2 linked regions of the Oryctolagus cuniculus genome follow. The protein of the gene in region 2 interacts with the protein of the main gene of each other region in a biochemical or structural test. Links are inferred from orthologs where the notes say so. Each region holds a gene or a part of one and is shown on either strand. Other genes may lie near its edges. The genes, in order: SH2D1A and CD244.

What was found.
Region 1: the proteins of CD244 (region 2) and SH2D1A interact in a biophysical measurement, tested with the Homo sapiens proteins (2 studies listed by IntAct). The link is inferred for Oryctolagus cuniculus from reciprocal best matches to the Homo sapiens genes CD244 and SH2D1A.

What each region holds. Positions count from the first base shown.
Region 1 is NC_091453.1:102,134,127-102,138,588, reverse strand, and holds the start of SH2D1A (SH2 domain-containing protein 1A), read right to left. Parts: upstream 2,872-4,462; 5' UTR 2,779-2,871; intron 2,567-2,778; exon of another isoform or gene 2,465-2,566; 5' UTR 2,365-2,464; coding exon 2,228-2,364; intron 1-2,227.
Region 2 is NC_091438.1:38,097,098-38,100,908, forward strand, and holds the end of CD244 (natural killer cell receptor 2B4), read left to right. Parts: intron 1-776; coding exon 777-833; intron 834-2,158; coding exon 2,159-2,239; 3' UTR 2,240-3,210; downstream 3,211-3,811. UniProt on the Homo sapiens protein: Heterophilic receptor of the signaling lymphocytic activation molecule (SLAM) family; its ligand is CD48.

The sequences.
Region 1 (4,462 bases), on a different chromosome or scaffold from region 2:
TGGCCGGCACGCTGCACCACCCTGAAGCCAGGAGCCAGATGCTTCCTCCTGGTCTCCCATGCGGGTGCAAGGACCCAAGGACTTGGGCCATCCTCCACTGCCCTCCCGGGCCACAGCAGAGAGCTGGACTGGAAGAGGAGCAACCAGGACAGAATCTGGTGCCCCGACCGGGACTAGAACCAGGGGTGCCAGTGCCGCAGGTGGAGGATTAACCTAGTGAGCCGCGGTGCCAGCCGAGATTACATTTTTCTAGAAGATCCCAGCAATACAGTTAAGTAAACATGCAAATGTCAGGCCTTTAAAGCTCCTTGAAGAAAAATAAAGAGCACGTAAGTGGGAGAGGTAGAGGGCATTCAGTCTAGATAGGGTGGCCAGAGAAGGCCTCGCTGAAGGAAGAGTCAGTTGCCTAAACATGTAAATCAAATTTTTGCAGAAGGAGCATTAAGGGCAAAAACCCTAAATAGGAAGCATACTCAGTGAGCTTAAGAAATGGCCAGGAGGCCAGCAAAAATGAAGCCTTAATGTACGTAGCCACACACTGTCCCCCGCTCTCCCAACCCCTGCCCAGGCTTCTTTTGTGCCTTCCTCTTTACCGCTAAGCTAAGAAGCACATTACCTCCTTGGCTAGCTTCCCTAAAGCAGCCCCCTCAACCCTCCCACTCACTCCCCTACCTTCTTTTGATAATGAAAGAGTCTATCTATAAAGAAACAACAAATGCTTGCAGGAGATTGACATGTTTATCTAGATTTGAACATTACATGACGTATGCACGTATCAAAACATCAATGGAGCCCCATGAATATGTACAATTTTCATATATCAGTTAAATTTTTAAATTTTTTTTAAATTAAAAAGAAAAGCGCCTAAGAATCCTAGTTGGCTTTCACCACCCTCTCCTGGTTTCACTCAGGAAGCACAGTAATATCAGGAAAACATGAAACTGCAAGCTCAAGAGATTCAGTAACTTGTGTGCATCTCCTTTGCAGTCCTTATGATGAATGTATTTAGTACAATCTCAGAACTACTACTAACAAACCTTGGCCATTTTTAAAAACCAATATACAATCAATGTATCATCAATACTGAACTGACTGACTACCAAGCGTTAGCCCTTATTTTGTTTCTGTCTAGAACCTAACGTAGAGTGCTGGTGTTTCCATGGGTGATTTTATCCTGGTGATGACAATGCTTCAGCTAGGTCCTTCCCAGGAGTGTTAAAAGTAATCAACTGAAAGAGAAGATTGATTGTAATAATACCAATATCTTATTTCTACTGAACACTTACTATGTGTTAGGTTCAGTGTTAATTTTTTACATGCATTACAGCACGGAACCTTCACAGTTCTGTGAGGTGGGTAATACCCATTGAATGGATGCAGAAACTGAAAGACCAAGACATTAATTTGCCAAGGCCACACACCTGGCTTCTGACCAGCACAGGGTTTCGCTCTCACAGCTGTCTGCCTCTGGAGCCCTGGAACAAAGATGCAGGTGCATCTGATTCAAAATGGGGCATTTAGACCCAGACACGCCTAGACAAAGGCAAAGCTGAATCATGACGAGGGTGTTTTCCCGCCACACCCTTTACCACTATCGGTCCTAGCTTTCATAGAGGAGGGTCTTATTTTTAAAACCTCCTGTCCCCCACACACCTCCTCTAAAAGAAGCTAAATAAGCTGATCCAGAGCAGCAGTTTTACTCACACACACCCCATCTCTGCGTCCTGACCCAACTGGTGGCCGCATTCTGAAAGTAATGGACTCTGCCCTTTAGTCTGCCTCCTCTCCCTGAATTTGGTATTCTTCCTTTGGGATGACACTTCCAAACCATCTCAAGAGAGGCCTTTCCTTCTCTCCAGAGCTGGGGGCCCCAAATCTGATTGGCCCATCATTCCAGGACTCCATCTTGCTGGCCTCAGTTGGAAGTCAAGACGGAAGCCAGGAGCCCGAGTCTCAAAGCAAAGGTAAATTCTAGGCCATGCTTCCCCATATCCTCAAGGCTACATTCTGCAGCTGCCCAGAAAGTCCCTGGCGAGGTCCTCCTGGAGAGGCGGCAGCCAGGGAATGAAATCCCCAGGAAGACACTCGGCCAAAGTGGGAGCTGAACAGGAAATCTTGCGGCCATGGAGAGGAGATCTTAATGAACAACTGCCACCCGCATCCCTGCCCCCAGGCCCCCCGTGCCCACTGCCCACACTCTGCGCCGCCACAGCCATAACGTACTCACAGCACACAAAGGCAATACACGCCCGGGACACTCTCACTGTCCCTCAGCAAATAGCTGCCGTCCAGCCCGGTGGCGAGCAGGAGCTTCTCCCCGGTTTCCCTGCTGATTTTGCCATGATACACAGCCACCGCATCCATTGCCTAGGAGACTCTGGGGCAGGCCGAGGTTTGCAGATGGTACTTGGGAGATGCAGCTGCTGCAGCCAGGCACAAGTCAGCCACCTGACTCCCAGTTCAGCTAAATGTGCAAAAAGAAAGAGAAGCACCGGAACAACAGGATGTTGTCTACCTGCCTAAAAACCTCCCTCTCACACTTCAATTAAAACCAGCTCAGCAACTTAGCCGCTTGGTTCTATCAAACTTGTCACCGGGTGTGGTCCCCACCCCCCAACCAACATAGGGTTCCTACAAAGAGTGCAACCTTGGAAAACGGACTTTGCACGATTTGGGCTGTACTGCCAATGCAGACTCTCACCCACTGACAAGAGTGCTTGGTAATGCTTCGATTCTTGCATTTTCCCCCCTGGGGCCACCGGGAATGACTTAGCTTACCCGATCTTCAAAGGAGTTGATAGAGGCAGCGTGTCATGCGGGGCTGAAACCTACTGAAGACGGAAGGACTAAAAGCTCTGAAACCAAAGCACCGAAACGGCACCTTCTATATGCAATTACTACTGATCATGGCCATGAGACTCCTGCAGAATCAGATGAAGCAGGTGAACAATAGACTTTGGGCAAGTTCCTCTCTCTCAGCTCCTAACTCAGATAGTCATCTTGAACGATCCTGGTCCTAAGTAAATACTGATTTTTTTTCTAGCACCTTGTCTAGGATCCCAATGTGCTGGAGGAGGTACAAAAATCCCAGTGTATGTCCAAAGGTATTCCAGATTTGTCTATTTGCTGGGCCCTGGAATGAAGCCAAATCATTTAACTGGGTCTTCATCATTACATGGATTTGTCTATGCCCTTTGGTGTGTAGGGCCCGCTTTTCAGGATTTCAGCCATAAAACTTGTTTTACAACATTTTGTGCATGTTGATAATTGTGTGGTAACTTTTATTCTGTTGTTTCTAGAGAATGGCTTCTTCTTCAATTGATGTTAAGCTGTCATTAATTTTTTAAAAGCCTTCAGCCTACATTTTCTTCTCTGAAATAAAGCATTGCTTCTATTTCAAATAGTGATAAGTAATATTTCCCAAAAACTTCCTCCATTTTTGCTAGACATCGTTTAATGCCTGGAACTCAACAGTCTTACACATGTCACGTTAGATTATGTAAAATACTTTTAGAATTGGAATACAAAGAGCTGAAGCTATGTTGTCTGTTGTATTCCTTTCACCACTTCACCACCTACTTTTCTGAGAATGCGTCTGGGCTGGGAACTCTCTTGGGAGGACATTTAAACCCTCATATCTTAACCAATGAATTGGATGCTCAGAGCCAAAGATGGTTATTTTCCCTCCAACTATGAGGGTTAAGGACAATCCTTTTGGCCAGCACCACGGCTCAATAGGCTAAATCCTCCGCCTGCAGGGCTGGCACATGGGGTTCTAGTCCCGGTTGGGGCGCCGGATTCTGTCCCAGTTGCCCCTCTTCCAGTCCAACTCTCTGCTATGGCCCGGGAGTGCAGTGGAGGATGGCCCAAGTCATTGGGCCCTGCACCCCATGGGAGACCAGGAGAAGCACCTGACTCCTGGCTTTAGATCAGCTCAATGTGCCGACTGCAGTGCGCCGGCCGTGGCAGCCTTTGGAGGGTGAACCAACGGCAAAAGGAAGACCTTTCTCTCTGTCTCTCTCTCACTGTCCATTCTGCCTGTCAAAAAAAAAAAAAAAAAAAAAAAAAAAAAGGACAATCCTTTAAGATTTCAGTGGTAGCCAGCAACAGCTCTCCTTGGTGGAAGAATGCCCAGCCATAGTAGCTGAAATATAAGTCTCCTTCATTTCTTTTCACATTTTAGAGACTTTAACGATTTTTAATTAGTTTTTTACAGATTGAACGTGCTTTGTAGACACAAACATAATATTCTCTTCCTTTTTGAGGTAACATTTTAAATTTATGTTACAGTGAAAACGCTTAATACTAAGTTTAGCAAGTAAAAAGTAAAAAAGACCCTAGTTTAGTGGGAATATAAACAACAGCTATAAATATTTGAATGGAAAAATGGTCATTTCACCCATATACAGTAAATTTTAAAGCAATCACAGATCATTAAAACTATAGTAGTATAGCTTTTTTA
Region 2 (3,811 bases):
TTCCAGATTCCTCCGTTTTGTTGCAAATGACCGGATTTCATTGTATTTTACTGCTGTACAGTATTCTATAGAGTACATATCCCATAATTTCTTTATCCAGTCTACTGTTGCTGGGCATTTAGGTTGATTCCAGGTCTTAACTATTGTGAATTGAGCTGCAATAAACATTAATGTGCAGACAGTTATTTGCCAATTTCATTTCCTTTGGGTAAATTAATTCCAAGGAGTGGAATGGCTGCATTGTATATTCAAGTTTCTGAGGAATCTCCAGACTAACTTCCATAGTGGCTTTCTTTTTTTAAGATCTATTTATTTATTTGAAAGTAAGAGTTACACAGAGAAAGGAGAGAGGGAGAGAGAGAGAGAGAGAGAGAGAGAGAGAGGTTTTCCATCCGCTGGTTCACTCCCCAATTGGCCGCAATGGCCGGAACTGTGCCGATCCGAAGCCAGGAATCAGGACCTTCCTCCGGGTCTCCCACATGGGTGCAGGGGCCCAAGGACTTGGGCCATCTTCTACTGCTTTCCCAGGCCACAGCAGAGAGCTAGATGGGAAGTGGAGCAGCCAGGACTTGATCTGGTGCCCATATGGGATGCCGGCGCTTCAGGCCAGGGTATGAATCTGCTGCACCACAGTACCAGCCCCCTATTAATTTTCTGGCTAAGGATACTCTCAGGGGTTTCTAAGCCCTAAGTCTCACTTGGGACCCCTCACACCAGCAGGAGAGTGACATCTCTAATCTTGAAGTCAAGTATTCTTTCTCCCTTTGAATTTCTAGTCTGGACCCAAGGTGAAGAACCATAACTCTTCCATCAGTCACTCTGTCTACGAAGAGGTAGGATCCTGGAACTCCTCCTGGATGGGTTTAGTTTCTGCAGCACAACATTCAAGTTTGGCCATGCATGGTGTGTTAGGAAAAGGTCTCCAGAGATCTTAAAATGCAAATCATCATTTTATTTTTTAAACTTATTTATTTTATTTATTTGAAATGTAAAATGATAGAAAACTAGATAGAGAGTGCTCTCATCTGCTAGTTCACTCCCCAAATGCTCTCCACAGCCAGGTCTGGGCCAAAAGCCAGGAGCCAGGAGCCAGGAACTCAATCCAGGCTTCCACATAGGTGGCAGGGACCCAAGTATTTGGGCCATTATCTGCTGCCTCCCAAGGTCTGCATTAGCAGGAAGGTAGAATCAGGAGTAGAACCAGGGGCTGAACCCAGGCACTTTGCTATGGGATGCAAGCTTCCCCTTCCCAAGTGGCTTCTCAGCTTCTGTGCCAGATGCCTGCCCTCCAAATATTCATGTTAGAGATGAAGATGCAGAGGCTCAGGGAGAGTCAGCATGTAACACAGGTTTGACTCTCATAAGGCAGTCTAAGTTGTGGATTATGGCTGTCTCCAAGCTAGTTCCCAGGGTGTGAGCCATAGATCTTCCAAGGGTTTGTGTGTGTGTTGGCAGGAGGGGCGTGAGGGATGGACGTCAGTGGGGATAAGTGAGTCTAAATGAGTTCCTAAAATTCAACCATCGCAGTGGACCATTCTGGCACACGGGTGGTCTGAAGCTTCTGCTGGAGTGGATGCTGTTCAAAGGTGAACGCTGAGCTTGGTGGCTGAACTGATTTCCTCGGCTCATTTGGCAGGCAGGGTGAGGGGAAGAGGGACTCAAACTTTGCTGAGAGTCACTACCTGTAAAGCAGCCTGCCAGCGTCTGAATCCCTTATCTAATGCCCACGTAATGCTATACGGCAGGTATACATACACATCTCATTTACACCCAGAGAGGTTACTGCATGGGGAGCATCCCAGCCATTCCTAGTACACTCAAACCTCCAACTGTGGTCCAGTAAAATGCTGTCACTGATCACAATGGAGAGGGTGAGTGGGTTGTGGTTGGGATTCCCAGAACTTCAGCTGAAGCCCAACAGTCTGGGAGGTCTGGAGGAAGCACAGTATGGTTAAAAGAGCACTGGAATTGAAGCCAGAGAACTGCATTGAAGACCCTCCTGTACTTCATACTAGTGGCTCACCCTAAGGAATTTGTTTTACCACTCCAAGCTCCATTTACTTAATCTGTAAAGTGGACACAATGATTCATACCCCCACACGATTGTTACAAGAATCTGCTAGTGGGTAGGTCTGAAATTTTTCCATTTCTTCCACAGGTTGGAAAGAGACCACCTAAAGCCCAGAGCCCCACTCGATTGAGCCGTGAAGAACTGGAGAGTTTTGATATTTATTCCTAGTTGCTGTAGCTCATCTCACCTTTCTTGCACATCAGCCTCTGCTTTGGGAAATAGCACAGTGGATGATGCCACAGGAGTCTACACAGAGCAGTTCCTAGTCTGGAGAAGATATGGAAGTTTGTTCATGGTCTATATTTTGTTTTAAAAATGATTTCTAATTGCCATTACAAGCATAAGGCTATTAAGCAATATCTCTCAACTTGCAGACAGGACAAAAACAGGTGGAAATACTGGGTCATTCACAGAAGACCACATTCCAAGTATTTGTAATCTGTCAAGTATCATGTAAATGGAGTTGGGACTGTCATTAGCATGGAGATTCCCTTTCTCTGGTTTTCTAGCCTGTTACTTGGCTCCCATCCTCCCAAATCTGGGATGACTACATGTCTTGCCCTGGTCCATCTCCCAAAGTAAGAAGAGTGAAAGGTGATGGTGGCTGGGAGGTAGAGGAAGCAGCCCTCTGGCTGTCACTGGCATGTTCTCCAAAGCCAGGGCCAGAGCTTGATTCAAATGCAGAGGGAAAATTTTCACTCACATCTCACATCTTACTTCTGGCTAACTGGTCACAAAGGGGTATGGGCAGCTGTGGGAATAGACGGTGCAAAGCAAGCCCATCTCTGGAAAAAACTCATCGAGGGCGGCGGATGCTTGGTGCAGCAGTTACATCACTGTTTGGAAGGCCCCCATCCAGTATCAGAGTGCTTGGATTAAGCCCTGGCTTCTCTGCTTCCCATCCAACTTCCTGCTAATGTACTCTCTGGGAGGTAGCAGACGATGGCTTAAGAGCTTTGGTCCCTACAACCGACATGGGAGACCTGGATTGAGCTCCAGGCTCCTGGCTTTGGCATGGCCTAGCCCTAACTGTTGTAGGCATTTGGGGAATGAACCAGCCAATGGAAGATTTTCTCTCTGTTTCTCTCTCCCTTTTAAATAAAATGAAAATAAATAAACATTTTTAAGAGGAAAGAAAAGTCACCGAGAGTTTATAATCACAGGAAGACCAGTTTTACCCTTAGTGTATGTGTGTGCTGTTTGATTGACTACAGCACATTATGAGAAAGCTACTGTGGTCTGTTCCTGGAAGAGGAGGCTCCTAGGAAGCCATAGTCTTAAAGTTTGGTGTCCAGATGATGCTTCGCATGATATGCACTCAGGCAGCTGAATACTGACTATGAGGCAAGAGGACCCGGGCACCATGCTGGGTTCCCCCAGTCTTCAGAGCACACCTTTCAACAAGACTATGAAGAGCAGGGCTGAGACTCTGAGCCCAGGAAAGGGAAAAGGATAAGCTGGACAATGACTTACTCAGAGACCCCAGCTGCTAAAAAGGCATCACTGGGAACGGCAGTCAAGACAGGGTTCCAGCTGCAGGTGGGAGATGCAGTGTCAGTTTGCAGAAGATGCTTCCATCTGAGGTTTCATGTGCATGGCCATCTAGAATTTTACTGCTTCAAGTCTAGAGAAAATGAAACTAAGAAGCAGATTAAACCCACAGGGTATAAAACAAAGGACAGAGTCATTATTAGAGGACCTAAGAAAAGTGCTGTCTAAACCATGAGGAAGTTTTCCCAT